7 linked regions of the Oryctolagus cuniculus genome follow. The protein of the gene in region 1 interacts with the protein of each later gene in a biochemical or structural test. Links are inferred from orthologs where the notes say so. Each region holds a gene or a part of one and is shown in the gene's direction. Other genes may lie near its edges. The genes, in order: KIT, SH2B3, SRC, GRB7, PTPN6, MPDZ and TEC.

What was found.
Region 2: the proteins of KIT (region 1) and SH2B3 form a complex in vitro, tested with the Homo sapiens proteins (2 studies listed by BioGRID and IntAct, with this or other methods). The link is inferred for Oryctolagus cuniculus from reciprocal best matches to the Homo sapiens genes KIT and SH2B3.
Region 3: the proteins of KIT (region 1) and SRC form a complex in vitro, tested with the Homo sapiens proteins (3 studies listed by BioGRID and IntAct, with this or other methods). The link is inferred for Oryctolagus cuniculus from reciprocal best matches to the Homo sapiens genes KIT and SRC.
Region 4: the proteins of KIT (region 1) and GRB7 form a complex in vitro, tested with the Homo sapiens proteins (3 studies listed by BioGRID and IntAct, with this or other methods). The link is inferred for Oryctolagus cuniculus from reciprocal best matches to the Homo sapiens genes KIT and GRB7.
Region 5: the proteins of KIT (region 1) and PTPN6 form a complex in vitro, tested with the Homo sapiens proteins (2 studies listed by BioGRID). The link is inferred for Oryctolagus cuniculus from reciprocal best matches to the Homo sapiens genes KIT and PTPN6.
Region 6: the proteins of KIT (region 1) and MPDZ form a complex in vitro, tested with the Homo sapiens proteins (2 studies listed by BioGRID and IntAct, with this or other methods). The link is inferred for Oryctolagus cuniculus from reciprocal best matches to the Homo sapiens genes KIT and MPDZ.
Region 7: the proteins of KIT (region 1) and TEC form a complex in vitro, tested with the Homo sapiens proteins (2 studies listed by BioGRID and IntAct, with this or other methods). The link is inferred for Oryctolagus cuniculus from reciprocal best matches to the Homo sapiens genes KIT and TEC.

What each region holds. Positions count from the first base shown.
Region 1 is NC_091439.1:109,621,477-109,625,575, reverse strand, and holds the start of KIT (mast/stem cell growth factor receptor Kit), read left to right. Parts: upstream 1-1,299; 5' UTR 1,300-1,314; coding exon 1,315-1,666; intron 1,667-3,300; coding exon 3,301-3,582; intron 3,583-4,099. UniProt on the Homo sapiens protein: Tyrosine-protein kinase that acts as a cell-surface receptor for the cytokine KITLG/SCF and plays an essential role in the regulation of cell survival and proliferation, hematopoiesis, stem cell maintenance, gametogenesis, mast cell development, migration and function, and in melanogenesis.
Region 2 is NC_091452.1:8,856,855-8,860,978, forward strand, and holds the start of SH2B3 (SH2B adapter protein 3), read left to right. Parts: upstream 1-1,324; 5' UTR 1,325-1,454; intron 1,455-2,424; exon of another isoform or gene 2,425-2,565; intron 2,566-4,124. UniProt on the Homo sapiens protein: Links T-cell receptor activation signal to phospholipase C-gamma-1, GRB2 and phosphatidylinositol 3-kinase.
Region 3 is NC_091442.1:21,177,336-21,180,835, reverse strand, and holds part of SRC (proto-oncogene tyrosine-protein kinase Src), read left to right. Parts: intron 1-1,345; coding exon 1,346-1,378; intron 1,379-2,080; coding exon 2,081-2,179; intron 2,180-2,292; coding exon 2,293-2,396; intron 2,397-3,500. UniProt on the Homo sapiens protein: Non-receptor protein tyrosine kinase which is activated following engagement of many different classes of cellular receptors including immune response receptors, integrins and other adhesion receptors, receptor protein tyrosine kinases, G protein-coupled receptors as well as cytokine receptors.
Region 4 is NC_091448.1:22,659,110-22,663,171, reverse strand, and holds the start of GRB7 (growth factor receptor-bound protein 7), read left to right. Parts: upstream 1-1,262; 5' UTR 1,263-1,460; intron 1,461-2,785; exon of another isoform or gene 2,786-2,889; intron 2,890-4,062. UniProt on the Homo sapiens protein: Adapter protein that interacts with the cytoplasmic domain of numerous receptor kinases and modulates down-stream signaling. Promotes activation of down-stream protein kinases, including STAT3, AKT1, MAPK1 and/or MAPK3. Promotes activation of HRAS.
Region 5 is NC_091440.1:102,590,789-102,594,288, reverse strand, and holds part of PTPN6 (tyrosine-protein phosphatase non-receptor type 6), read left to right. Parts: intron 1-2,488; exon of another isoform or gene 2,489-2,658; coding exon of another isoform or gene 2,659-2,666; intron 2,667-2,759; coding exon 2,760-2,882; intron 2,883-3,067; coding exon 3,068-3,262; intron 3,263-3,500. UniProt on the Homo sapiens protein: Tyrosine phosphatase enzyme that plays important roles in controlling immune signaling pathways and fundamental physiological processes such as hematopoiesis.
Region 6 is NC_091432.1:176,108,203-176,112,212, reverse strand, and holds the start of MPDZ (multiple PDZ domain protein), read left to right. Parts: upstream 1-1,210; 5' UTR 1,211-1,380; exon of another isoform or gene 1,381-1,556; intron 1,557-4,010. UniProt on the Homo sapiens protein: Member of the NMDAR signaling complex that may play a role in control of AMPAR potentiation and synaptic plasticity in excitatory synapses. Promotes clustering of HT2RC at the cell surface.
Region 7 is NC_091433.1:41,420,261-41,424,338, reverse strand, and holds the start of TEC (tyrosine-protein kinase Tec), read left to right. Parts: upstream 1-1,278; 5' UTR 1,279-1,336; coding exon 1,337-1,390; intron 1,391-4,078.

The sequences.
Region 1 (4,099 bases):
TGGGGTGCAGGGAGTCCCCTCCACCGGACCCCTCTGCGCTCGGTGCGCACTACGCTGTAATGGTTATAATTGGCCTGGCTCTTATCTCCTGCACATCAGGGCTGCTGGCGCCTTTTGATCCGAGCTGTGCCGTTGGTGCCTCCGGGGAAGTGTTTATCCGGGCGGCAAACAGGAAGTGGGAAGACACTTTTGGCTCCGGCCCCGTCGGTTGGCGGGGGCTTCCTTCTGTGTGCGCGCGGACAGGTCTCCCACGCACTACATGTTTGTTTTCTGGTTTTCCACGGCCCTAGAAGTCTATGCTTGGGGCCTGACCGTTTAACCTTGGCGTGGACAGATTCCCACTGGACTGAAATGGCACCCATGGACTCCCGGGCAGCCCCAGTGCACCTGCTGTGGTCTTGCCCGACCTTGGGCTCCTGCACGATGCCACCACCGTCCTGCGCCAGGACCGGGGTTTCCCGCTGGAAGCAGCCCGCTGCTGGGGCGTCCCTTCGGCTCCTGCCCCTGCCCCTGCCCCTGCCCCAGCTCAGCAAGGCCCAGTGTGCCTCGCCCTTGTGCCGTCGTCCCACTGCTCCTGGCCGCCCCCTGCCCCTTCTCCCCAGCTCCGTGGAGGGCTCCTCTCCTGCGCGGGTTGGCTGCGCGTCAGCCTCTGGTTTTCTCCCCGTGGTGAGGTCACAGTGACAACTCCTGCGGGTTGTAATTCACAGACGGATTGGAGGATGCGCAAATCTGCTGGTGTGAGTTTTCTGAGGTCCAGGTTTCGCGGTCGCTGTCTGAAGCTTGCATCTCATGACTCGTGCCACAGAGCATCTCACGGTCTCCTCTTTGAAACAGGGTTGCGTTTCTGCCTTACCGTGTAGGTTCGTGGCTAGTTGTGTCAATGAGCAAGCACTACCGTGTAAGGAGAGCTCCGTGGAAGCAACTGGATGCACAGAGCCTTCAGAAAAAAACCAAGAGTGTCGTGATCACGGGCACCCCGCCGAGAGGGGCGGGCCAGTGGCTTAGCTGTTTCTTCTCCCTCGTGGTGTGAGATTTTTGTTTTCGTGCTTCCTGAGCTGGATGGCGGCGTGTCAGGGCCATGGCAACAGCCGGTATTCCCAAGGGCAGCCGCCCGGCCGTGCGTTTAACCCGAGGGGAGCCGTGGCATCCAGCTAGCCCTTCCCTGGACCCCAAGTGTGACTCCCAGCAGAATTGCGAGTTGCCGAAAATAGCCCGATTTTCGAGATGATCTTAGCAAACTTTGGACGGAGCTCTCTTTCCAGCCCTAAATAGCAGGACAGCCTTGTCCTATTTTTATTGTAGCGCACACAGAAGATGGGGCTCGCGTTGGAAGAAATGCTTTTTTTCCGCCAAAGAAGCAGCTCGCACTCAACGAGATCTTGGTTTTTCTTGGCAGGCTCTTCGCAGCCATCTGCGAGCCCAGGGCAGCCGGCTCCCCCCGTCATCCAGCCAGCACAGCCGGAGCTGACCGTGGATGCCGGCAGCAGGTTCTCGCTGGAGTGCATCGACCCGGGCTCCGTCAGGTGGACTTTCGAGAGCCTGGGTCAGCTGAGTGACAGCGAGCACAGCCAATGGACGCGCGAGGAGGCGGAGGCCGCCAACACGGGCAGGTACACCTGCACCAACGCGGGCGGCCTGAGCAGCTCCATCTACGTGTTCGTGAGAGGTGAGTGCCCGGCTTTCCGTGACGCTGCCCTTGATCTTGACACGCAGATGCCGGAGCGATGGAGTGTCGCCCGCTCGCTGGGTCGAGATGCCCGAGACAGAGGCCTCTCTCTGTCCCGTCTTTGGCTGGCACTGGCTCTGGGGCTGGGGGCCACGGGGGCTGTGAGCCTCTTCCTGCTAATCTGCTCAGTCCCTTGGCCCCGTAAAGTTGATTCACTTAAAAAATCGTGACCTCTTGGCAACAAAAGAGAAAGACACAGGGCAGGTGGATGTCTGTGCCTCGCTTCCTGTGGCTAATTCGCCCGCCCGTGTTTGCTCTTTGCAAATCTTTGTAGAGACCAGGTTTGCCAGAAGGGGTGTGTCTTCTGGTAGCTGACGGCTTGGGAGACGACTTCTCGTCCTGAGTGGGTGTGGATCGCAGCTGACACTGAAACAGACCCGAGGCGAGAGGCCTTAGCCAGGGGGTCCTGCACAAGTGATGGGGGTGACTGTCCTCGGTGGGAGCCCTGAGCCGCCCCCTGCAGTGCCCGGGTGAGCTCACTGCTCCGTCGTCCTCACCGAGTGACAGATGCGTGCACGCCCTGTGACCTGCAAACTGGCCGTGACATCCAGGAGTCCTGTCCTGCCTGAGTGGGCAGTGGGCCAGAGACGGGCGCCGACGAGATACTGTTTAGCTCTGCTCGGGCTGTGCTGTGCCACTGAGCCGGGGCCTCCCCGAGCTCTCACGGGAGTCCCGGCTCGGACGAGAAAGCGTTTGTCCTGCGTTCATTCCTGACACCGATGAGCCCCCTCCCCTTGGTCTGCAGCGACGGGGTTTGCGGAAGCCCTGCCCACACGGGGCCCAGGAGGACGTGCAGAGAGGGGCTCGCGCGCTGCCTGCACTGGGTTCCGGGGCTCCTCCCCGACAGCAGCTGTCACTGTCACCCTGGTTGTTACCCCTCTGCAGCCACTCCTGTGCTGTCACCTCTTATGGAGAAACAGCTTTGCTATCTTCAGATGCTCTGGGGGTCTTTTATTTTTATAAGGTTAATTAATGTATTTGAAAGTCAGGGTTATAGTGAAAGAGGCAGAGACACACATGCACACACACGCACACACACACCATTCGCTGGGTCACTTCCCACACGGCCCCAACAGCTGGGGCTATGCCGGTCCAAAGCCAGGAGCTTGCACTGGGTCTCCCACCTGGGGCACGGGATTAGCCGGGAGCTGGATCAGACTCTACCTGCTGCTCTTATGGGATGCCGGCGTCCCAGGCAGCGGCTTGGCTTAACCCTTGTACTGTAACGCCGGCCCTGTAGCTTTCAGATTTTTGGATTAGGCTTGCTCAGCCAGGAAAGTTTATGCAAATATCCCAAAATGCTAACGTCTCTGAACTATGAAACACTTCTGGTCCCAAGTGTTTCCGTCGGAGATTCTCGGCCGGCAGCACCCATCACACAGGGGCCTATGGAAGATTAAATAAGATAAAAAAATGGGTGGTGGCTCAGGCTTAGTGCCCGGCTCGTGGAAAGTGTCTTAGGCGTGTTAACTCTTTCTCGCCAGTCCCGTTTGCATGTGCTCCAGTTCTGGCTGTCACGCTGCCTGCCGTGTCAGCACAGCCGCGCAAGCCACTGACGCCCAATGTGTTTGTAGATCCGCGGCAGCTGTTCCTCGTGGGCCTGCCCCTGTACGGCCGAGAAGACAGTGACACGCTGGTCCGCTGTCCGCTGACCGACCCGGACGTGACCAACTACACCCTCAAGGAGTGCGAGGGGAAGCCTCTCCCCAAGGACTTGACCTTCGTCCCGGACCCCAAGGCCGGCATCACCATCAAGAACGTGAGGCGCGCCTACCACCGGCTGTGCCTGCGCTGCGCCGCCGACCGCGAGGGCACAACCGTGCAGTCGGAAAAATTCATCCTGAAAGTGAGAGCAGGTGGGCCCCCTTCCCTCCTTCCTCTCCCTGAGGGTCGGCCCGCGGGCGCTGGCCCCTCCCCGTGGGCTGTTCCCCAGCCTCGCGGGAGCACCGGTGCTGGTGGAGCCTCTGTTGGAGAGGCCCAGCCCCGCACCCCTGGACCACGGCCACCTCTAGCCGAGGCAGGTGCGTCTGCCATGGACCGGCATCCGTGCTGGGCACGGTCATTACCGGCTGTGCCTGCATCAAGTGCTGCTTCCCAGAGACCCCCTGGACAGCTCCCACCACACTGTTGGCAAAGCTGAGTTGTTCGTTTTGATTGGCTATTGCACTCTCTCCCGCTGGTTGACTGCAATGCATCCTGGGACCGCGCGAGGCCTGGGGAGGAACGTGCAAGCTGACCGTGAACTTGTCATCATGTGGCATCCTGCAGTGTTTTGGTGGCTGGGATAATCCAGGTCTCTGTATCTCAGAGGCCATGTGATTCAACACCAGCTGTTCAGTAGGTTTTTTTTTTTTTTTTCTTTCTTTTTTTTTT
Region 2 (4,124 bases), on another chromosome or scaffold:
CAGTCCTCTGTGGCTCCCTCTGGCTGTCGTTGCTATTGTTATGTTAATAAGCACGGTGGCAGCGTGGATCACCGCGCAGCGCTGTGCTGAACTCGGCCGCCCGTCCGCTCATGGCACTGACCACTGCTGCTTCGGTGGTCCTTACTCCCGCCTTGGGAACGGGGACACTGACTCGCTCGTGGCCACTGGCCCCGGGGCTCCCCGGCCCGCGTAGCGGCCAGGCCCCGGGCGCTGGCCCCTTCAGCTGCACCTGACGCCCCCGCTCCGCCCTCTGCCCGGCGCACCCGCGGCTCCCCGGCGGCGCGGGGCGGGGCGGTTCGCGCGTGGGTGGGAACCCTGCGCCTGTCCGAGGGAAAGCGGCTCCGGCAGGGGCCGGGCCCGAGCCTGATTAAAAGGGGAACAACCGCAAGTCCCCGTTTAAGTCAGCGGAGCTGCCGTCTGGGCGGCGAGAGGGAAAGTGCTTGCGGCTGGCGCGGCGCAGCAGCCATTTGGCACGGGCTGGGGGTGCCCCGGCGGCCGTGCGGCGCGGGGAAGCGGCTGCTCTCCCGGCCTCCGTGCGGCCCAGCCTACCTGCGGCTTGAGGCCGTCAGTGTGGACCCCTCGGCCCCCTCCCCCCTCGCCCCGCGTCTTCAGAGGCCGGAGGTTCCCGCAGGGGTCGCCAGGGTGGGTCCTCCTGCCCGCACCCTCGGAGGGGCGGCTGCGCGCGGCCCAGACTCCTCCCCCCGGGGCCCTTGGGACCCCGCGAGCCGGGCCTGCCTTTCCCGTCTCCCCTCTCACCCCCGCACCTGCTGCTCCCGGATCGCCTGCCCTCCCCTCCCCCGGACGGCCTGGGGCCCTGTCCGGGCAGGTGCCCTGTTCAGCATTGGTTCTGCGGAGATGCCCGAAGGAGCCGGGTGTCCAGGCGGGTGCAGGGCCGAGCACGTGGGCCGTCCCCGCGGCTTCCCCAGGCCACAGCGGGAGCTGCCCCTCCCCCAGCCACTTCCTGGTCTCCGAGCGCCCCGTGTCCCCTCACCGCAAGGCAGGGGTACTGGCTTTGCCCCTGCTGGGCCCCCAGCACCTAGAACAGTGCTCGGCACAAAGTAGGTGTTCAACACGTCCCTGGAACAGCACACTCTCGGGTCTGCAAGGTCACTGGGCTGGAAACCCCCACCACCTGGGGAACCCCTTCCTGCGGGCGGGGGGCGGGACCCCGGGCCGCTCAGTTCCCCGACCGCCCGGGCGCCGGGCGCGCGCTCACCTCGGCCTCGAGGGATGGAGTCGGCTCGTCCGGCCCAGGCCAACGAGCGGTGGGTCGGAGGAGCACCGGGCCCCTCCAAGTGGGGGCGTGGGCGACTGGTTTCCTGTTGGGGGAGGGGAGCGCAGCCATTCCCGGCGCCCCTGTGCTGCGCTACCTCCACGCCGCCCCGGGGAGACCCGCCTGGTCGGCCTGGGCTCCAGGAGGCCCTAGAAGAAATGTGAGTAGCCTGGGGGCGAGCAGAGGCCCCGGGGCAGCAGTCCAGGAAGGCTTCCTGGAGGGGGGGCGCGGCCAGGTAGTGGCGTGGCGCTGGGCTCAGGCGCTCGGGACGCGGCAGAGCGGTGCTGAGGCTGGGGGCGCTGAGGCCGAGGCGGGTCGGCTCTGCGGAGCCGCGGAGAGGCGGGAGCGGGCGGGCTGGGCCCCCTCCCCAGGCGATGATGAAAGTCCAGGTTGATCTTGCGCTGCCGGGCCCGGCAGGCGGCGATAAGGCCCTCAGGGCGGGAGACAGCGGTGGGTGCGCCCCCTGTAGGCCGCACAGCTCGGCGGCCCCTCCCCAGGCCCCGCCTCCCGGCCTGGCCCCGCCCCCGCCACGCCGCGGCGCCCTGTGGCCTGCAGGCGTGGGGTGGGTGGGACCCGGGTTGCCCCGCCCCCCCCGCCGTTCCTTCCCTTCTTTAGGCTGCGCGACGCGAAATTTGGTGGGTGAGTTGTGGGCGTGGCTCGGTGAGACCCCCGCCTCCCGCCGGGCTCGCACCTCCGGATCTCAGGGCCCGGCCCCCGCGGAGGCGCTGGGCAGTGGGCGGGGCCACCTCGGACCCCGCCCCTGGTCCCTCCCCTTCCACAGAGCAGCGGGTTCGCCAGGGCGTGGCTCTCGGCGGCCCCGCCCCTCCAGGCCCGCCCACTCCGGGAGCCGCGGGTTCGCCGGGGCGTGGCTCCCCGTGGCCCCGCCCCGCCGCCCTCCCACGCCGGGCTCGGCTCGCACAGCCGGTTCCTCTTTACATAACGGCGCGGGGCGGCATGGGCCCGGGCCACCGCCTCCGCCCGGCCGCCCGCCCGGACTGTCGCGGCCCGCGGAGGCCACGGCGGCCGCAGCGAAGTTGTCCCGGCGGCGTCCCGGGGGCGCATCCTCTCGCAACTGTCAGGCGCTGGCGGCGGAAATGATGAGGCTCTGGCCATCTTCCGAGCCGGGGTTTCCTGCCTGAGCCCCGCTCGAGCGAGAGGCGAGCGAGGAGCCGACGCGCCCGGGGCGGGGGCCCGCCCGCCCCCTCGAGGTCTCGGGGGGCCGGGGCGCGCGACGCCATGGGCCGGCCGGGCCCGTGCCCCGTCTCTCTCAGGTAAGCCCGCCTGCCCGCCGGGCTTGGGGGCGTCCCGGGGCAGGGGAGGCCCCGGGGCCGGCCCTGCGCGCCCTCAGCCGCCCTGAGCGTGCCCGGCTCGGACTCGGGGGGCGCCGAGGCAGGGAGGGCCCTCCGCGGGTTCCCCACTACCTGCAGCCCAGCCGGCCAGGCACAGCGGTCCCTCGGCGGGAGCCGGGAAGGAGGGGTCGGGGTCGGGGTCGAGGTCGGGGCTGGGGTCGGGGTCGGCGCCGTCTGGGGAGAAAGCGTCAGCCTGAGGCCGTGTGCGCGCGTGCAGGGAGCAGCACCCCCCCGACCCCGGAGCCCAGGCCCTGCCTGGGGGATGCCCCCGCCCCGCTCTGCACTGCCCACGGGTTAGGGTCCTGGAACCGGGGCCCCTTGACCACCCTCGGCCTCCCCCCAAGACTCCCAGGGAATACCCCACCAGGCCGAGGAGGGGGTGTCGGCCTGGGGGGGCACCAGCGGGCGGCTGTGGGCTGCATTTGAGGAACTGGGGAGGGGTCCGCCCGGCCGCCCGCCGCTCGGCTCCCTACAGTTTCCTCATTCTCCTGTTTCTCTTCCCCATTCCCGGGCCACTGCGAGGTAGGTGGGGAGGTCAGTGCCTGCAGCTGGGGCCGCGGAGGGGGGAGGGAGGGCCGGCCCAAGTGGCGCATCCTTGACACCTGGCTGCCTCCCGTTTACAGCCTGGCCTCGGGCTCCTGCCGGGGCGGCGGGCAGGGGGATGTCCCCGGGGGGCGCGGGCCGGGTTAGGTCTGGATTTCCCATCGGTGACCCGGCCGCTGGAGTGGAGCCGGGTCCAGGGCGTCCCGGGGACCTGGAGCCCTGGCCCTGATGGGGGCGAGCCGGCTCAGGGGACCAGAGGCCAAGGCCCCCAGCCCGCAGGGAGGTCGAGCGGTCGGTCATCGGTCTGCTTGCTCGCTGCGTGCCTTTTCCCACAGCCCCCAGTGGGAGGGAGAGTCCTGCTGAGCCGCAGGGTGCGTGCTCCTGGCCGGTCCCCCAGGGCCGCTGGGGAGGGGCTGGCCTGGGCCGGCGGAGGAGGAAGAGAGGCTGGTGGGGCCGGCGCCTGAGTCCTCCGCCCCTGAGCGGGGGCGGGCAGGTGGTCTCCCTCTGTCCAGCGGGCTGACAGGTTTGCGGCCTGAGCAAGGCACCTGCCGCTCAGCTACAGGTGGCCGCGCGCGTCTCGGCCTCACCGGCGATAGCGCTGTTACCGGCTGTGGGCCGTGGGCGCCCTCTGGGAGAGTCCTGAAGCCCCGGGCAGGGTGAGGGGAGGGCGCTCTCTGGCTCTGGCCTCCGTTCCCCGCTAGGAAGTGGGTCTGACGACTGCACCCACCACAGGACCGCCGGCACCCTGGCTGAGCGGATCCGCAGAGCACCCAGGGCGGTGCGGCCTGGGGACAGGAGGGCCTGGGGTTGGCTTTCGCTGCTGCCCAGGTCACCTCTGCTCGGCCTCCTTCTCGGGACTCTGTGGTCCTGCTGGCCACAGGGCTGCCCAGCCTCGCGTCCTCCCGCCCGGCACGAGAGAGACACACTTCCCCGGGGGA
Region 3 (3,500 bases), on another chromosome or scaffold:
CCCCTACACCCTGCTCCACACACGGGGCTTCCCGGGGCCTGGGGTGCTCACTGCCCCTTCATGAGTCCTCAGAGAGTCCTCCAGCCTGGTACTGTCTTTCTAAAAAATTTTATCATTTTTATTTGTTTGAAAGGTAGAGACAGAAATCCTCCATCTGCTAGTTCACTCCCCAAATGCCCACAACAGCTAGAACTGGGCTGAGCCGAAGCCAGGGGCTGGGAGCTCCATCCGGGTCTCGCCTGTGGGTAGCGGGGGGCCGGGAGCTCCATCCGGGTCTCGCCTGTGGGTAGCGGGGGTGCCGGGAGCTCCATCCGGGTCTCGCCTGTGGGTAGCGGGGGGCCGGGAGCTCCATCCGGGTCTCGCCTGTGGGTAGCGGGGGGGCCGGGAGCTCCATCCGGGTCTCGCCCGTGGGTAGCGGGGGGCCGGGAGCTCCATCCGGGTCTCGCCCGTGGGTAGCGGGGGGCCGGGAGCTCCATCCGGGTCTCGCCTGTGGGTAGCGGGGGGCCGGGAGCTCCATCCGGGTCTCGCCTGTGGGTAGCGGGGAGCTGGGAGCTCCATCTGGGTCTCGCCTGTGGGTAGCAGGGGCCCGGCCACCTGAGCCATCAGCTGCTGCCACCCACAATGGTGCATTATCAGGAAGCAGGACTCGGAAGTGGAGCTGGGACTTGAACCTGGGCACTTTGATACGAGATGTGGACATCCCAAAGTGGTATCTTTACTAGTGCATCAAATGCCCTATCCCTCCCCCACTGCATTGGCCGCAACTTCTGCATCTTTAACACGGGCCGAAGAGTATGGCCAGGGGCAGCTCAGAGAAGCTGGGAGTAAGGGTCCTGGTTCGAGTGGAGACCGTGTGACTGCAGGCGAGGGGCCTCTGTATTTCTGTGTGGCGGTGGCGGTGGGCGCATCCTGCCGGCGTCATTCAGGGCCAAGGTGACGTCCAAGACAGCCTTGTACTGACGAGAGCTCAGCAGACTGTCAGGTCCTTCCTCACCCAGTAGGGAGGGGTCCTCCTCCTTTGGGGCTGGCTGTGTGACCTTGAGCAGAGTGCTTTGCTTCCCTGGCCTCAGTCTTCCCATCTGTACAGTGGGAATAGGATGGGGGCTGAACCCTAGTCCCCGGGCTGCCCTGCCCATCGACCTCCCAGCCCCGCCCTGTGGGTTGCTTTGGATGCGAGGCCTCTGTGGCTGCCCCGTCTCTGTCCCCAGCCCCGCCTGGCTCTTCTGCCCCCTCCCTCGCTCTCTCTGCCACTCGTTGCCGCTCACCACCCCCATCTCTGCCTCTTCTCTCCCGTCGGGCTCTCGCTTTCTCCTCCCTCCTCTGTGTCTCTGGACCCCCGCTCCAGCCAGACCTGGTTCACATTCAGATGGCTGCAAAGGTACTTCCGCCCCTACCCCCTCCCCAGGTCCCAGGGCTCCTCCTGCCCCTGTCCCCGTCCTCCTCTCCTCCTCTCCTCCTCTCCTCCTCTCCTCCTCTTCCTCCTCCTCCTGGGGCAGTTAGTACAGAAGGGGCCTGGGCAGTGGGCTGCGCCACCTCGACCCCTCTGACGAGATCGCTGTGTGACTTTGGGCAAGTCGCTGCCCCCTCTGGCCTCAGTTTCCCGTGGCAGATGGGTAGGCTGCAGGAGGGGCCTGTAGTTTGCGGCTGAGGACCCTGTAGGCGTGAGCCATGGTTTGTGACAGGCAAGCACTGCTCTGCTCTGCAGGCTGGGGCCTGGGTTGCCCCTAAGGGTGCCCCTTGGCCTCCACCCAGGTCTCCCCAGCTCCTGGCGTCTGGCTTCTGAACCTCAGGGCTGGGGGAGACTCGGAGGGTGGAACCTGACGTTCCTCTTGGGCGGGAGTCTTCTCTCCCATTCCAGTGTTGCCTGCCCCCGAGGACCAGGAGCGCCCTTCTGAAAGGCCTGGCCTCTGCTCCGTGCACGGAGACCCTGGCTGCCTTCTGGCCTGGGAGGGGGGCTGCAGGCCAGCTCCATGGGGCAATGCGAGAGCTCCCCTGGTCCCAGCCTCGCTCACTGCAGGAAGCCAGCGGCCCTGGGCTGGCTGCTGACGGCTCCCTTGGCTCCGTGCTCTCCCCTGTGCAGGGAGGGAGACTGGTGGCTGGCCCACTCGCTCAGCACGGGACAGACCGGCTACATCCCCAGCAACTACGTGGCGCCCTCCGACTCCATCCAGGCCGAGGAGTGAGTATCTTCCTGGGCGTCTGCTCACCACTGCTCCTGGACTGCTGGGCGAGGTTGAGGGGTCCAGGGCTGGCGGAAACTGGACTGCTCACCGCTCGTCCCTCCCTCCCCAGGTGGTACTTCGGCAAGATTACCAGGCGGGAGTCGGAGCGGTTACTGCTCAATGCAGAAAACCCAAGAGGGACCTTCCTGGTGCGCGAGAGTGAGACCACGAAAGGTAGCAGCATTCCTGCTGGCCAGCAGAGGCTGAGTCTTTTGTGGGTTCTTGGGGCTGGGTGTTGCAGAATGAATAGGAGTTTGGGGGTAGAGAAGGAAGAGGATGAAACGGCAGGACAGAAGTCAGGCAGGCGCGTGTCTAAGTCAGCGGTGGGAGACGGGGTGCAGCAAGAGGAGAGACGAGACTTCCGTGGCCTCAGTTTCATCAGATGAGGACGGGCCCAGGTTGTCATGAGGTCCAAGTGTCACAGCACAGGTTTGTTCCCAGAATGGGTGCGGATGCAGGGGGCCCTCTCTTCCCCTTCCCCAGGGGCCTCTGGGGCTGCAGTGAGTGCTGGGAGCCGGCCTCGGCCTTCCCTGGCCAGTCCTGGCCCCGCCCCTCCTTGGGAGGGGAGGAGGGAGGCAGAGCATCCAGGCCAGGTGTGTGCGTTTGAGCCCTCAGGCGGCTTTGTACACGTGGGCACCCCTGTGCAGGTGTGTGCCTATGTGTGTGTGTGTGCACATGTGGAGGTTGGGACTGTGGGTTCGTCCTCACGCTTGGGGGCCTGGGGAGTGTGTGGCTGCTGGGTGTGGGTGTGCCAGCAGGTGTGTGCACCTGTGTGTGTGTGCATGTGCGTGTGCACACACCTGTGGCGGTCACTGCCAGCTGCAGCCTCGGGCCTCTGCTCCTGCCTGCCCTTGGCCCAGGCCACCTGCAGAAAGTCACAAGACACTCAGGAGGCGGTTCAAGGCCCGGCTCGGTCCTGACTCACCGAGCGACCGGGGGTAGCCGCATGCTGTGTTGGCACCGCGGGTGTTACCTGCCTGAGTGCGTCCCTGGGAGTTCGGTGGCCGGGAACTGCCTGCCAGGCCCCAGAGAAGGCCTCTGCCCCCAGGACCCAGTGCTGCCCCCAACACCGGCCAGGCATCTCCTGGGCAAGGGTAGCATGGGCTGCCAGCCAGGCTGGGCACCAGGAGGGCCACCGTCTGGCCACACACAGCACGTGGTCTCCTGCCTGGGCCTGACCTGTCTGCAGAAGGGGCCGGGCGTGGACTGTGTCCCCAAGGGCAAACCTGGGAGCGAGGGGCGCATAACCGCGGGGGCCGTTCCCAGACTCCCAGAAAA
Region 4 (4,062 bases), on another chromosome or scaffold:
GAGAAGGAGTGGCTTTCCATCCACTGGTTCACTCCCCAAATGGCTGCAATGGCTGTGGCTGGGTCAGGTCAAACCAGGAGCCTGGAACTCCATCCACGTCACCCGTGTAGATGGCAGGGACCCAAGCACATGGGGCATCTTCTGCTGCTTCTCCAGGCCCATCAACCGGGAGCTGGATTGGAAATGGAGCCCCTGGGACTTGAACCATTGCTCCTATGGGATGTTGGCATTGCAGGCTTCACCTGCTGAGCTGGTCCTATCTTATGTGTATGGTTCTTTGATAAGGGTGGTCTCCCTGAGTGGGCAGCATGAGGACAAGGGCGGGGCCTGTTTGTGCTGTTCCCCACAGCATCCCCAGCACCAAGCAGAGGGCTGACACCTGGGGCTCAACAGTTGAATTGGCTGCGGTGCCTTCCCGCACCAGGTGACCTTTGCCCCTCCCCCACCTCTTGGCTCCTCCAACCCCTCCCCTCCACTGGTTTTTCAAGGAAAACCAAAGTTGGGAGAAAGTTGAAGCCACAGCCACCCCTCCGTGCTCCCCCAGGGCAGGTCTCTTATCACCCCTAGGATTGTTTGTTTTTCCAACTGTCACCCTCATCAAGCTGGGAGGTGGCTGCCGCCTTTGATCTCTGCCTCTCGCCCCCCTCCTGCTACCCTTGTTTGCCGAGTGCCGAGGGAGAAGTCTAAAGCCCTGGCCCTCAGAGCAGTGCCTTGGGCGAGCCAGAATTCCTAGATGGTGGTGGCTGCTCCCACGGTGCAACCCTGCCTGGCCCCTTCGATTCAAAAGGCGGCAGCTGAGATGAGACCCTGGATTTTGCTCGGGAGGGAGAGCAGAGTCTGAGCGCCTCTGAGGAGCCAGGGCACAGCCTAGGTGGCCAGACCGTGGCCGGAGGTCAGAGGCCAGGATAGGCTGCTGGACACTCCCCTGGCTGCCTCCCTCCTTCTCAGGGTGCCCTTTGTTCCAGAGGGTTGGTTCAGAGCTGGGGACGGGCTCCCTGCTCGGCCTACGGGGGCAGATTGGGCCCAGATTCACCTTTCTCTGCCAGCCCCCAAACCTTCCCTCCCAAGTGGTCGGGACTCTTGATCTCGGCTTTCCAGGCTGCTCTGTTTGCCAGGTTTCCCTGCCTCTCCCCAGGCACCTGTCGCTGGGCTAGGAAAGGGCGAAAACAATCCCAGCCCAGCCCTCAGAGAGCCCAGGAGTCTCCGCCCCCTCCCTGTGCTTCCTTCTCCCAAGCGCCTCCCCCAGGCCCCGCCCCCACCTGCCCAAGATAATTTTAGTTTCCTTGGGCCTGGAATCTGGACACACAGGGCTACCTCCTTCTCCCCCGACTTCTACGGCCAAAGTCGGGACATCTTCCTGCCACCCGCAGGGAATCGGGAGTGAATTTGAAATCCAGGGGCCCGAGGCTGAGCCAGACTTTGCACGCAGTGTCCTGCCACCCCTGCGGGGGCTCCTCCAGGTAAAGGGACCACGATCGGGTCTCAGACGACCACTCGCTTCTACCCTCAGCCGCACCAGGGCCCAGGCTGTGCCCATCTTGTCCGAGCTGGCCAACTGCCCTCCTTGTCTGCTCGGTGATGTCAGGCCAGGAGCAGGGTGTGTGTGTTTGTGGGGGGGCGCTGGGTGGGGGGTGGGGACAGGTAGTTAAGGGCCTGGCATCTCTCTCCCCCAACCAGTGGCCCCAGCCAGGTGTACCAGTGCCCTGGGTACAGTTAAGGACCAAAGCAGGTGCTTCATCCAGAGGTGGGCTGCACGGGCAGGTCTGGGGTAATTCTAGAAGATTCGGTCCCCTGCTGTGCCACTCAGACCACCTCACACTTTCTCTTTTCCTTCGGTTTCCCATCCTTGCCCCATTTCTGGTTCCTGTCCTCTTCCTCCTCCTCTCTCCGCACGCCCCCTCCCCCATACATGCACAGACCTGTTTGTGGGGATAGGAGGTCTGGGATTTTTCTCCTCCAGCTTTCCCGCTGAAACCGGCCCCTCCCCATACACAGAGAAAGAGCTAGAATGGGGGGGGGTCTGAATCCCGAGGGAGCTGCCTTCACGCCCTTGCTCAGCCCGATTCTGCCCCATCTGGGTCCCCTCCCCACGTATCTATTCAGCCAGTCGGACTAGGGGTGCCCCCACCATGGAGGGCGGTGCAGGAGAGGGACTCTGGTCACTGGGGCTCCTTCTCCATGTTGCAGTCCCTGCTTGGGACACAGCGCACTGCCTTTGCCTGGGCAGGTGGGGGGCAGGTGGGGGGCAGGCAGGCCCATGGTGCCCTCGGGCTGTCCGGTTGGGTGCCGAGGGGTCTGGGCGAGGAGGGAAGGGCAGGTGGTCTTGTCTGATGAGTCTGGGGAGAGACCCAGCCTCGGAGCCCGGTCTCCCTGGTAGAGTGGGGACAGAGCATGCACCTGTCTGCCCGGCTGCACCCTGGGCCCCCAGGACGGCCCTGGCTGGGCCTGGCGGGGTTCTGCCCGCCTGTCTCCCGCTGACATCCTGCTCTGTGGGGAGGGACCTCCTTGAGTGCACAATAATGATTAACTCCACCCGGGAGACTCTAGCATTCTTCCCAAATTAAACTTTAAAAGAGTGCCCCCCCAGTAGGTGTTTTTCCCGAGTGAGGGAGTGGGCGGGGCCTCAGGGGCCCTGGGTCCTCCCCTCAACTGCAGGTCACCGGGGAGTCTCCCACCTCACCTGGTCTCTGGCCCTAGGAGCTCCCCCGAAGGTGAAGCTTCCCCCACCACATTCTGTAGCGGTGGGGGTGGGGCGGGGAGCACGGGCCCCCCCGGGGACCGCCCGCCACACCCCAGCCCCTCCCCCCGCCCTGGGAAGCTCGGACGGTGGCCTTGTTTTCTGTCCGCCCTAAACACCGGGCCCTGCCCCCTGCCCTTGGGGCCAGCCAGGTGGGGCAAGATTCAGGAAGTAAACAAGGAGGCGGCGAGGGTGGCAGGAGGGTGGTGCTGGCGCGGTTAGGGCAGGGAGGCAGCCCGGGAAGCGGTGGCCTGGAGCTGCCGGGTTGGGGAACCAGTTGGTCTGGGGGCTTTCTCCAGCGGCAGCTGGAGGGGGCAGCGCAGGCCTCCCAGCTGGCCTCTGCCTTCCCGCCCCTCCCCAGCCTCGGCCTCGGCCAGTCTGCCGGAGGCCCTGGACCCCTCCCACCTCAGTCCCCCGCCCCCAACACTGCTCTTGGGGATCCCTGCTGCTGCCCTCGGACTTCGCGGGGAGGCGCAGCCCGGCAGCCCCTCCCCCAGTCTTCCTGCAGCGAATTCCTGGGGTTTGTCCGAGGTTGGGGGGTGGGAGTGGGGCGCTGGTGTCTGGGGACGCTGGGTGGGGAGTGTGGCTCGCCCTTCCCGCCCCGCTCTCTCTGGGGTCCTTTGCTCTGTCCTCTCTGGTGTTGGGCCTTTCCATTCCTGCTGTCCTGAGGTCCCAAGGCTGGAGCCACCTCCTCTGAGCAGCCTTCCTGGGGTTTCCACGTGCAGACTGATGGGCTCCCTCTGTCCAGAGGGTGTGTTATGGGGACCCTCATCCCCCAGGCTGATGTGGACAAGTCCTCTGGACCAGGGACACCTAGCAACAGGACCAGGGCCAGACCCACGGTGTGGGGAGGGGGCAGCGGGGGCTGGGAGCCCAGCTTTCTTGGGCAGGGGCCCCCCAGCTGGGAAGTCAGCTCCATTCCAGATGACCTCGCAATCCAGGCCTGGCATTTCTTCTCCCCCTCCCGGGCCAGGTGGTGGCTTGGGGCTGAGGGTGGGCAGACTTCAGCTCCCACCTGGGCTGGAGGTGGGCCAGGGGTGGGGAGGAGAGGGTGACATCAGTCAGAGGCAGCTCCAGCCGGCATCCTCCTTCTCTTCCGTCCCGCCCCACCCTCCCCCGGTAGCACAGGGGAGAGGGGTGCAGCCTTGTTTGCGTTTCTCCTCAGCCAGGAAGTGCAGATGAGTCAAGTTGCATGGAGAGTCCCAGGCAGTGCCATCCTGCCCCGCCCTGGCTCACCTGCCCCCCAAATTCCCTTCTGCCCTCACTGAAGTGTCAGGCGCTCGCCCCACTCTGAGTGTGTGTGTGTGTACGCGTGTGTGTGTGTG
Region 5 (3,500 bases), on another chromosome or scaffold:
TGGCTTGACACCCTTCAGAGAGCTTCCTCTTCCTCCATGGGTCAGGTTCCCACCAGGTGATGTAAGCCCTGAAGGAGACCATGGCAGGGGGCTGGTAGTTAGGGGCTAGCGGTGTTTGGTGCTGAGCCCGCTCCTAAAACTGTGTGGTCAGGGTCATGCCTGTGTGTGGACGTTTGCCCCAGACCAGGGGTGGAGGATGAGGCGTGGGGAGTGGATCTGTGTGTGTCCTTGTCCTCATCTGCACAGGACAGGCAGGGTTGGGGGAGGGGCAGTCAGGAGCTGCGTTGGTTGCCAGGACTGCAGTGTTTGGTGCCGTGGTCCATGGGGGACACTGTCCTGTGCCAAGTGTGCTTGGCGCTGCGCAGCTGGAGGCCAGGGACCCCCTGGGGTGGAGCCAGCCTTGCACCTGCTCTCCCCCCTGTGGGAGGAGCAAGCTCCTGGGAATTCGTGGTGATAAACAGACCACGAAGATTCTCCAGAACACCTAAGAGGAGAAACCCAAAGAGGAAAACCTTTTTTTTTTTTTTTTTGAAAAAAATAATTCACATTTGATATTTCCAAAAAACGAGAAAGTAGTTGTCTGTAGAAATTAAACTTTTGGGCTTTAATATGTTGTTTTCCTTTTTTTTTTAAAAAAAGATTTATTTTTATATATTTGAAAGGCAAAGTTACAGAGAGGCAGAGGCAGAGAGAGAGAGGTCTTCCACCCACTGATTCACTCCTGAAATGGCCACAATGGCCAGAGTGGTGTCGATCTGAAGCCAAGAGGCAGGAGCTTTCTCCGTCTCCCACGTTTCCCTTATTTTTATATATATATATATTTTTATTTTTGACAGGCAGAGTGGACAGTGACAGAGAGAGAGACAGAGAGAAAGGTCTTCCTTTTGCCATTGGTTCACCCTCCAATGGCCGCCGCAGCCGGCGTGCTGCAGCCGGCGCACCGCACTGATCCGATGGCAGGAACCAGGTGCTTCTCCTGGTCTCCCATGGGGTGCAGGACCCAAGGACTTGGGCCATCCTCCACTGCACTCCCTGGCCACAGCAGAGAGCTGGCCTGGAAGAGGGGCAACCAGGACTAGAACCCGGTGTGCCGGTGCCGCAAGGCGGAGGATTAGCCTATTGAGCCACGGTGCCAGCCTCCCTTATTTTTAAATTGAGGTCTGACTAACACTTAAGGGACCTTGATGCTAAGCATCGTGCAAACACCCAGCTTGCCCATGAATTCCCCAGAAATTGCCGTATTCCCGTCACTTTACAAAAATTTGTTTTTACAATTGACATTGATTGATCTGAGAGGCCGGGATAGACAGGGTTCTCATTTGCTGGTTCACTTCCCAAATACCTGAAATGGCAAAACCAGGAGCCGGGAACTCAATCCAGATCTCCTTCATGGGTGGCAGCACCCACCCACTGCAGCCCTCCTCTGCTGCCTCTGGGGGCCTGCATTAGCAGGATGCTGGAGTCAGGAGTGGAGCTGGGATGCAGGCATCGGACCCACGGGGCATCAGCTTTGATAACGGTAAAGCCATTGCACAGCGTCCAGAAAGGTGCAAGGCAGAGGCCTGTGTCGTCCCCAGCCCTGTGCTCCCCGCCCGGTCTCCCTCTCCGGGGGAGACCCCCACAAGGCCCTTGTGCGTCTTCTGCTGAGCCCTCCTCTCACTCGGGGTTGGCGGGGTTTGTGTTGCCACCTGGAGTTCCGTGCAGGGGTCATCATAATCTTAGTGTTCAGGGTCGCTGGAGGTCAGCCGGCCCCCAGTCCCCAGGAGTTGGGCTCCCAGGCTCTGGGATAGGGTAAAGGCCTGGAGACCAAAAGTAGAAAAGACCCACATTTGACAGGGTCATCGTGTCCATCCCTCTGCCATCGAAGGCCTAGGAAGGGAGGGCGCGCTTCCCCCCTTCAAGCATCTCGGCACCCCACAGCAGCCCCTTGGGTCAAGCAGCTGCGCAGCCTCTGTTCTTTGAAGCCCCAGGGCTGGTGTGCAGTGGTTGCCATTCCTGGTTTGGGACGCAGCCAGTCTGGGTTTCAGTCCCGGCACTGGCACTTGACTAATTGGATGACCTTGGGCCAATCCTTCCACTCCCACAGCCCCGGTTCCCAGTTGGCAAAGTGGGGTCGCAGCAGGCGCCTGTGTCCTAGAGCTGCTGGGAGCGCACGCAAAGCCCAGTGAGGCCCCATGAACGAACAGCGTATTAGCGTGGGCCAGGGAGCGGATGGAGGAAGAGGAGACCATGGCAGGTTCCCAGGCAGGAAGCAGAATTCTTTGCCATGAGGTGTCCCAGGCGTGCGTGGGCCCCCTATTCATGAGCTGTCCCATCTGCCGCAGTGCCATGCCCCTGAGCCTTAGATGGCGGCCGTGTGGGAAGTGGGCCCTGCCCCCATCCCATGTCACCCCGCTCTTCTCTTGCTCTATGCTAAAAGGAGAAGTCAAGTGAGTTCCCCCAAGGGGTCGGCCGCGCCCCTTCCTGTCCCCGCCCTGCTGGCTGCGCCAGGCCAGTGCAGCGGCAGCCCCAGCCCCGGCACCGCACCGTGGGGTGGGTGGTGAGGCGGCCGGGCGCTTGGAGCCCAGTTTGAGCCTTAGCTCCAGAGTGCTCCGCCGGCCTGTGTGAGGCTGCCCTCCTTCCTTCCCTGCTGCCCCTTGCTTTCCGGAAGCCCCCAGGATGGTGAGGTAAGCGCTGGGAGCTGCGGTCAGAGGGTGGGAGATGGGGGTGCTCTGGGGCGGCCGAGGGACCTCTCCTCACCACCCTGCCCGGCCTTCCAGGTGGTTCCACCGGGACCTCAGTGGGCTGGACGCAGAGACCCTGCTCAAGGGCCGAGGCGTCCATGGCAGCTTCCTGGCTCGGCCCAGTCGCAAGAACCAGGGAGACTTCTCCCTGTCTGTCAGGTAGGTGGTCCCAGCGACGCTGCACTGGCCTAGGCCCCTGGAGCCCTCATTCCCTGCTCCCCTGGCCCCGTGCCTCTGCTGTGTCCTTGTCCCACCCCCACCCCGTCCCCCACACCTGCGCAGGCCCCCTCCCCATGGGTTCCCCGGGGGGCCAGACGCCTGGCCTCACGGCTGGTGCCCTGCAGGGTCGGGGACCAGGTGACCCACATTCGGATCCAGAACTCTGGGGATTTCTACGACCTGTATGGAGGGGAGAAGTTCGCCACGCTGACGGAGCTGGTGGAGTACTACACACAGCAGCAGGGCGTGCTGCAGGACCGTGACGGCACCATCATCCACCTCAAGTACCCGCTCAACTGCTCCGACCCCACTAGCGAGAGGTGAGGGCCCTGCAGCCGGCCCCTTTGGCCCGCCCCGGCTCAGGCCTCTGGGCTCCGCTTCTCCCTCTTATGCTGCAGCCTTGCCCTTCACCGGGGTCCTCCTGGTGGCAGGAAGCCGCCCCTCGTGGCGGCCGAGCCCATTGTTAGAAAGCTTCCCTTCTGTGGAACTGAATCTGCCTGCTTATGACCCGGGCCCCTACAGGCGAGCTGTGTGAGCTGGGCTCCGGGCAACCCAGTG
Region 6 (4,010 bases), on another chromosome or scaffold:
CTTCTCTCTGTAACTCTGACTTTCAAATAAATAAAAAAATCTTTTAAAAAATCCATTTCCCTCTGAAGTCTTGTATATCTTACAAACTTAGTTTCCCCTTAAATATTTGATGTTAGAGAAATGCAAATTGATTTTTAGTAGACATACAAAAGATAATCTGACGAAATTACATGGCTTACAGAGAATATTAAAAGAAATTCTTTCAAATATTTTATGTTGGACTTTTGAGTATCCTCTGATGGTATACTTTAACATTAGACATATGGAATGAAAAAGGAAGCGATTTCCCTTTGCGCGCACACACACATAAAATTACAGAGCTCTCAAATTGAGAATTTCTGAAAGACAATATTAAAAGGCGCAAAATAGAAATGAATTATCTGCTCTTCCTGGCACCAGTGACTGTGAATCCTTCTGTGTGTTCACCGTTTTTGAGCTGTTATTGGATCATCAATCTAAGAATACACATCGATGCACTAAAGTTACTCTTGGCTAATCCTCCGCCTGTGGTGCCAGCACCCCGGGTTCTAGTCCTTATTGGGGCGCCGGATTCTGTCCTGGTTGCTCCTCTTCCAGTCCAGCTCTCTGCTGTGGCCCAGGAGGGCAGTGGAGCATGGCCCAGGTGCTTGGGCCCTGCGCCTGCATGGGAGACCAGGAGAAGCACCTGGTTCCTGGCTTCCGATCAGCGCGCTTGGGGAGTGAACCAACGGAAGGAAGACCTTTCTCTCTGTCTCTCTCACTGTCTAACTGCCTGTCAAAAAAAGAAAAAAAAAAAGAAAAGAAAAAAAAAGTGAGATTACTCCTCCGGTGCTCGTTACAGAGCGGCGCCACTTCAGCTATCCTGCAGAAGGCACTTCCAGGGCAGTGCATCTAACAACAACGCTGTCAAAAACTACACCTAAAGGCTACTAGTTCTCACAAGTTGCCAGATTCAGCAAACACAAACAAGATTCTCAGTTACAATCGAACTTCAGATGAACAAGTACCTTTTTTTTAGTATAAGTATATCCCAAACATTGCATAGGTCATACTTATACTAAAAAAAAAAATCATTAAAAACAAAAATCCTAATTATCCACTAACTGGGCGCCCCACAGCCTCACAGAGCGCTCATCCTCCGGCCGCCCAGGAGCTAGTTTAAAACCCAGGACCAGCGGGCTGGGCCGCGCCCCCTGATTGGCTGAGGCCGCCCGCCGCCCCGCCGGTCGCCGGCGTCACCGCAGCCCCGGCAGCCCTGGCCCCGCCACCGCCTCCGCGGCAGCCCCGGTCGGCGCAAGTGCGGCGCGCGCCGGGGGAGGGGGCGCGGCGAAGCGGCGGAGCGCGAGGCTGGCGTCTGGCCGCCGGCGGCCGGCCGCGCGGGATTAAGTTTCTCGGTCACGCGTGAGTGTGAGTGTGTGTGTGGGGGTGTGTGTGTGCGCGCGTTTATCCCGAAGCTCCTCGCCGGGCCGTTACTTACGAGGAGAAGAGAGCGTGCGTGGGCGAGGCGAGCCAGCCCGAGTGCTCGGTGATCCCGGCTTCCCCAGCCCTCCGCCCCTCTCGCGTCCGCCGCGAGCCGGGTAAGCGGCGCCGAGGACCCGGCCGGAAGGCCGCAGCGCGCCCCCGCGTCTGCGCGAGCCCCGCCGGGAAGGTGCGCGGCCGCCCGGGGGCTCGGCAGCGGGCGGCGGGGCCGGGTGCGCTCGCCCCACCCCGCGGGGCCCGACGCCGGGGCGCCCCTGTCCCCTAGCTCTTTTTTTTTTTTTTTTTTTTTTTTTTTTAGGGATGGGGTCTGAAGTTTCCTCTGCTACTTGCACGCCGCCTCCTCTCCCCGCGACAATCACCCCCTCCTTTGGCTCTCGCGGAGTCGCAAAGGGTTTCAAAGTTTTTGTTTTCCTTCTCCTGGAGGCCTGGGCGCCTGGGGCGCGGACCGGGCCCTCCGGAGTGCGGGAGCCTGTTGCTCTCCGCTGCTGCGGCTCCCCCGTTACGCAGGGCGGAGCTGTGCCGGGTGGGTAGAGCCCCCAGCCTGGCGTCCCTTGCCTTGGCACCGGGGGACTTCTCCCCACCCCCGAGGCCAGCCCGCAGCTGGGACCCGCCCCCACACCCCGTGGCGCCCGTGGCCTTTCATCAGCTGCCGCTCTGGCTGGGACATTTTTGCACTGGCCTCCCCCTTCATCCCGTCTCCCGCCGGTGGGCGCCTTTGTCTACGACTTCGCAGCGGCGAGATGCCGGACGTTCCTAGGGGAGCCGCGTCTGGGAGATGCTTCTCATCCTGTGGGGCTGTGCTTGGGTCTGGGGTGGTGATGGAGTACATTTTTGCTTGCATTCTTTGCAGAGGAAACACAGGCCCGGCCCTTCCTCCCAGGGATCACATGGAAATGGAAGCCGGGACCGCGGGGGGTGGAGGAGCGGCGGCGCGAGGGTGGGAGGTTGAGTCTGCCGCCGGGCGGGGGGCTCGGGGCTGCGGGACCGGGCGTGTGGAGCTCCTGAAGTGGCTCTGCTGGGGGAGACCATGGCGAGGGGCGCTGCATAGCTTTGTGCCTAGGGGCTGTGGTTGGAGGCTCGGGTTTCATCTGTGTCATCAGATAAGGGAGGCTTCACCAACGTGGAAGGAAAACCGCTCCAGGTTTTTTGGCTGCCAAGAGGGGAAGAAATTGCAGAGTGACCAAATTGTCATTCTGTGCTGGCAGGCAGCTCTTGCCGTACACACCCCTTAGTGCTTCCATAGACAATGCTCTTTTAGGTGTCTTTCTATAGAGTAAATAGCACCTCATCTAAGGACACTGATTCCATTCCAGAGGGCTGTGCTCTGATAACCCGGCTTGGGTTATAATGCTATGAACTTTTGCACGGATCGAATTATCTAAATTTCTGTAATATATGCCTTAGCCCCTGCTAGAACATAGGCGAACGATTGCAATGTAAAACCTAACACACCTGGAAGTTCTGCATCTTGTTGGATGCCACAGTGCCCTTGCATGCCAACTTAGGTAACACTAATTTTGAAGGCCACTTAATTCTCCCCTGCTCTTCTTCCTTTGCTAAAATAAAAAGATTACTCCCAACATGTTACTGGTGGGTCATAGGTGCACTATCTCTCTTAACATGTATTCCTTCGTTTCATCTCCCTTCTCTTGTTTCTGGTTTTCTGTATTCCTGTTCCACACTCCTTCCTTTGATCACTGAAGGCTGATGGGAAGGGTGAGATGTTTAGTGAGGTTGCACAGTGCTCCAAATTTGTGCAACATGGACGAGGCCCCGCCTGACCCTTCAAGACATCTTTGCATTTCAGATGTCTTTTAAATGCAGGTAGTTATTTGGGACTAGGAACTGTTCCCAGAGATCACAGTATCTCTACAAGTTGAAGATGCTCAGAGAGATTCATGGAAGTCTTACAAATGTAGTTTTGCTTTGGTTTAGGCCTGGTCAGGAACTGTCAGTTTTTAGCTGCTAGAGTCAGCAAGTGCTGTTTACAAATGAGGCCCAAGAGGACTCATTGTTTAGAGCTGGGATTAAGGGATTTAGAAGCTGGCTTGGGAGATAGCTGTCCTGAGCTAGAGGCAGATTATTTTCTCCAGATTACTTCCCAAATCTGACACATAGGTTTGACTCTCTTGAGTTGAGTTGTAGGTGGGCTCCATTCTGTGTATTTATAATATGCATGAAGTACTCTATGATTCTCATAAAATGTTTTGAGGCAAAGTTGATGCACTGGGCTGGAAATGCCCCCAAATAAAGTAGAGCAAACCACACCTCTGCCAGAGAGATCCTACACTTTAAAGGGAAGGAGTAGACAACTTCCCAGACTGCTTCCTGGTGCATGTGCAGGGGTGAAGTTCCCAGGTATATGCACTTTTAACCATAGGCATTTGGCTTAAAGTAGGATTTCATTTGATAAAATTGTTGCATTGTTCCCTATGTTATCAGCTTCATTTAAACGAGAAAGGTATTAATTTTCTCTTGGAAATTAGTGTTGTGCATGAGAGAATTTATGTAAACATAATTGGGAAATTATATTTAATCTGGTAAAATTGATA
Region 7 (4,078 bases), on another chromosome or scaffold:
AAATGGCTGGGACGGCTGGAGCTGGGCCAGGAGCCAGGAACTTCTTTCGGGTCTCCCACATAGGTGCAGGGGCCCCAGCACTTGGGCCATCTTCCACTGCTTTCCCACGCACAGTAGCAGGGAGCTGGATCAGAAGTAGAGTAGCCGGGACTCAAACCAGTGCCCATATGGGATGCCGGCACCGTAGGTGGTGGCCTAATCTGCTGTGCCACAGTGTTGACTCCACGTACACACATATTAAGTACTTTATCCTGTGGTGGCTATCTAAATGTCGGTATCACTTATTTATGTAAAGTTGGCTTTCAGAACTTCTCAATAAAATAGAAAAAATTAAACAGTGACTTATTTTATAGAATATGATTTCTCAGATCATGGAATTTTCCACACATGATTTTGAGATTTAATGCTCAGCCATCATCCCCAACGGAGAACTGTTTAGTGTGAGGATCTCTGGGCAGGGGAGGTATGGTGAAGGGAAACGGAGGGCTCTGTAAAGTACTGTACTTCTATTCAAAGCTTTCAAAAATTCTGGAATGTCTGTGAAACCATTCTTCAATCCTAGAAGGATTGAAGGGTTCCAACATTATTTTCTTGTTTGTTTCTAAAGGTTTGGACCTCATGTATGGAATGGAGTTTTGTCCCCTCATGGAAATGTGTTTTTGATTCTGTAATTGAATACAAATAGACAAATTGTTTTAGCTGAAATTTATCTTAATTTCATCTATTTGCTTAGAATGCATCTAGTCTATAAAGTGAAGAATATAAGTAATTGTCATTTTCCTGTAACTAAAGCTATTGCTTTTCATTTTAACTTCATTCCTACAAAGTAAAGGATTCCTAAAATACTCAAAATTAAAACTCATGATGGGGTTTTAATTCTCAAACTGACTCAGAACTCACTATAACACTTTTGAATATGAAATAGTAAATGTATACCAGTTTTACTTTCATTTTCTATTTGTGATTCTGATCAAAATTAAGATTAAAAAATTTCATGTGCATTTTATGAGTAAGGAATTGTTAAGATCAGAGTGTGAACACCTGTTTTTATACATGTATTGGCATATTTCTAGCTATCTGTCAAAATTCTGTTCATATATTGTCTCCTCTTTGAAGTGGTTCACAATACTTTGAAAAGGGGCCATTGGTTCCTTTTCAGTCATCACATATTAGTGATTCTTAGGGGATATGAAATGATTTCAAGATAATCTGCACATATCACTTTTACATTTAACAGATTGTAATGTTGCCCCCCCCCCTTTTTTTTTTTGAAAGGCATAGAGACAGAGGAAGAGAGAGGGTGAGAAAGAGACAGAAAGCTCTTGTCACTCTTCAAATGCCTGCCGTGTCTGGTGCTGGGCCAGGGCTGAGCTGGGGCCAGAGCCAGGAGGTGAGAACTCAGTCCAGGTCTCCCACGTAGGAGGTGGAAACCCGGTTACCTGAGCCATCAGCACTGCCTCCAGTGTCCGTGTCAGGAAGCTGGAGTCAGAAGCCAAAGCTGAGACTCAGAGAGGCACTCCAGAGTGGGAAGTGGGTATCTGAACTGCTGTGCTAAATGCCAGCTCCTGCTATTTGTTTTTAAGTAACTCCCATGCTTCTCTAAAGATCCTATCTTGTTCATCTTTGTAACCACCTGAATGTCTCATGTGTTTTTCTTTCTAAAGATATATTTTATCTGTGAAATGCAGAGCTCCAGAGAGGCAGAGGCAGAGAGAGAGGTCATCCGTCCTCTGGTTCACTCCCCACATGGCCGCAATAGCTGGAGCTGAGCTGATCGGAAGCCAGGAGTCAGGAGCTTTTTGCAGGTCTCCCACAAGGGTGCAGGGCCTCGAGCACTTGAGCCATCTTCTACTGCTTTCCCAGGGCACAGCAGGGAGCTGGATTGGGAGTGGAGCAGCCGGGACATGAACTGGCGCCCATATGCGATGCCGGCACTGCAGGTGGCGGCTTTACCCGCTACGCTACAGTGCCAGCCCCCCATGTATTTTTTTTGATACATGATAGCTATGTGTAAATGACAGAATGAGTAAATACATGAATGTTGGAAACTGTTCCTATGGGCAGCTTGGCTCATGAACTGAACACGGTAAAAGGATGGGTGGGTGAGAGAGAGGAAATATTTGGGGTGGGAAGAAAGTTGACAGGGGTTAAAGGTGAATGAAGTAAGAGTGATGTAGTCAGGAATACTTTAGTGTATGAGCATGTCTTGGTTGTTTCTCTAGTGCTATGTAAAACACACCCCAAATTTTCAGCACACAAAAGCAACCAGTTCATACATTCTGTAGGTTGAGAATTAGTGCACAGTAGAGATGTCTTGTTTCACTTCTACAGAGTCTAGGCTCCTACTTCAGAAAACTTCCGTGGCTGGGAATGACTTAAAGGACTGGGGGCTGGAGCCATCTGAAGTGTTCTCACCTGGATGTCTGCCTTCTGTGCTGGCGTGATTTAAAGGCTGGGCTCAGCTGGCATTTGCCACTGGATACCTCCATTTGGGTTATCTATTCGGCAGGGGCTTCTTTATGATGCCTGGCTTCCAAGAGGAACCATCCAAATAACCAGAGAAACCTGGTTATGACTAACCCATGGGAACCAGGCAGAGCTAATTGGCTTTCTATGACCTGGAGTCCAAGGTCACATAGTATCAGTTCTGTTGCACTGTTTCAGAGGAGCCACAAGCCCTCTCAGATTCAAGGTGAGGAAACATAGACCTTAACTCTTCATGGGAGGAGTATCAGTGAACTTGGAGTGATTTTGTTTTAAATACTGGACCAATTACAATGATGGGTAGAGAGAAGGACAGAAGAGTACATTGTCAATGTACTTCATCATAGGTAGGACATATGAAAATGTGTCTGGACACTATCAAAATAGTAGTTAGACTGTGGCTTATAACCATGACATTAAAAAAATGGGAGGCAGAGAGGGAGAGAGGGGGAGAGGGGGAGGGGGGAGAGAGAGAAGAGGGGGGAAGAGAGAGAGAGAGAGAGGGAGAGGGAGAGGGAGAGAGGGGGAGGGAGAGTGAGGGAGCAAGCAGGTGTGCTCCCATCTGTTGGTTTACTTCCTAAATGCCTCCCCTGGCTGGGGCTGGGCCAACTCAGAGCAGATCTTCCATGTGGATGGCAGGAACTGAATTACTAGAGTCATCAACACTGCCTCCCCTGGACTGCACTGACAGGAAGTTGAGGTTAGGAGCCAGAGCTGGGTATGAAACCCAGTACCTGGGGCTGGTGCCGTGGCTCACTTGGTTAATCCTCCGCCTGCGGCGCCGGCATCCCATATGGGTGCCAGATTCTAGTCCCGGCTGCCCCTCTTCCAGTCCAGCTCTCTGCTGTGGCCCAGGAGGGCAGTGGAGGATGGCCCAAGTGCTTGGGCCCCTGCACCCTCGTGGGAGACCAGGAAGAAGCACCTGGCTCCTTGCTTCGGATCGGTGCAGTGCTGGCGATAGCGGCCATTTGGGGAGTGAACCAATGGAAGGAAGACCTTTCTCTCTGTCTCTGTCCCTGTCTATAACTCTACCTGTCAAATTAAAAAACAAACAAACAAACAAAACCCAGTACTCTGTTGTGAGATGGGGATGTCTTAACCACTAGGCCAAGAGCCTGATCCCTATAACATTTTTTTCAATGTAGCTTGTAATTTTTATTTGTTGCAAAAGATATATGAGAATGTTTTCTAGAAATTAGCTTTTTATTGGTTTATTTTTTCCTCTTAGAGATCAGGTAAATAACAGCTTGCATTTCAGTCTGGGAAAAATATCTTCATTTTTTTTTAAAGATTTATTTATTTACTTGAAAGTCAGAACAGAGAGAGGAGGAGAGGCAGAGAGAGAGAGAGAGAGAGTGAGTGAGAGAGAGAAAGAGAAAGAGAGAGAGAGGGAGAGGTGTCTTCCATCTGCTGGTTCACTCCCCAGATGCGCCAATCTGAAGCCAGGAGCCAGGAGCTTCTTCCGGGTCTCCCACACAGGCGCAGGGGCCCAAGGACTTGGGCCATGTTCTACTGCTTTCGCGGACCATAGCAGAGAGCTGGAACAGCTGGGACTCCAACTGGCACTTATATGGGATGCCGGCAGTGCCAGCGG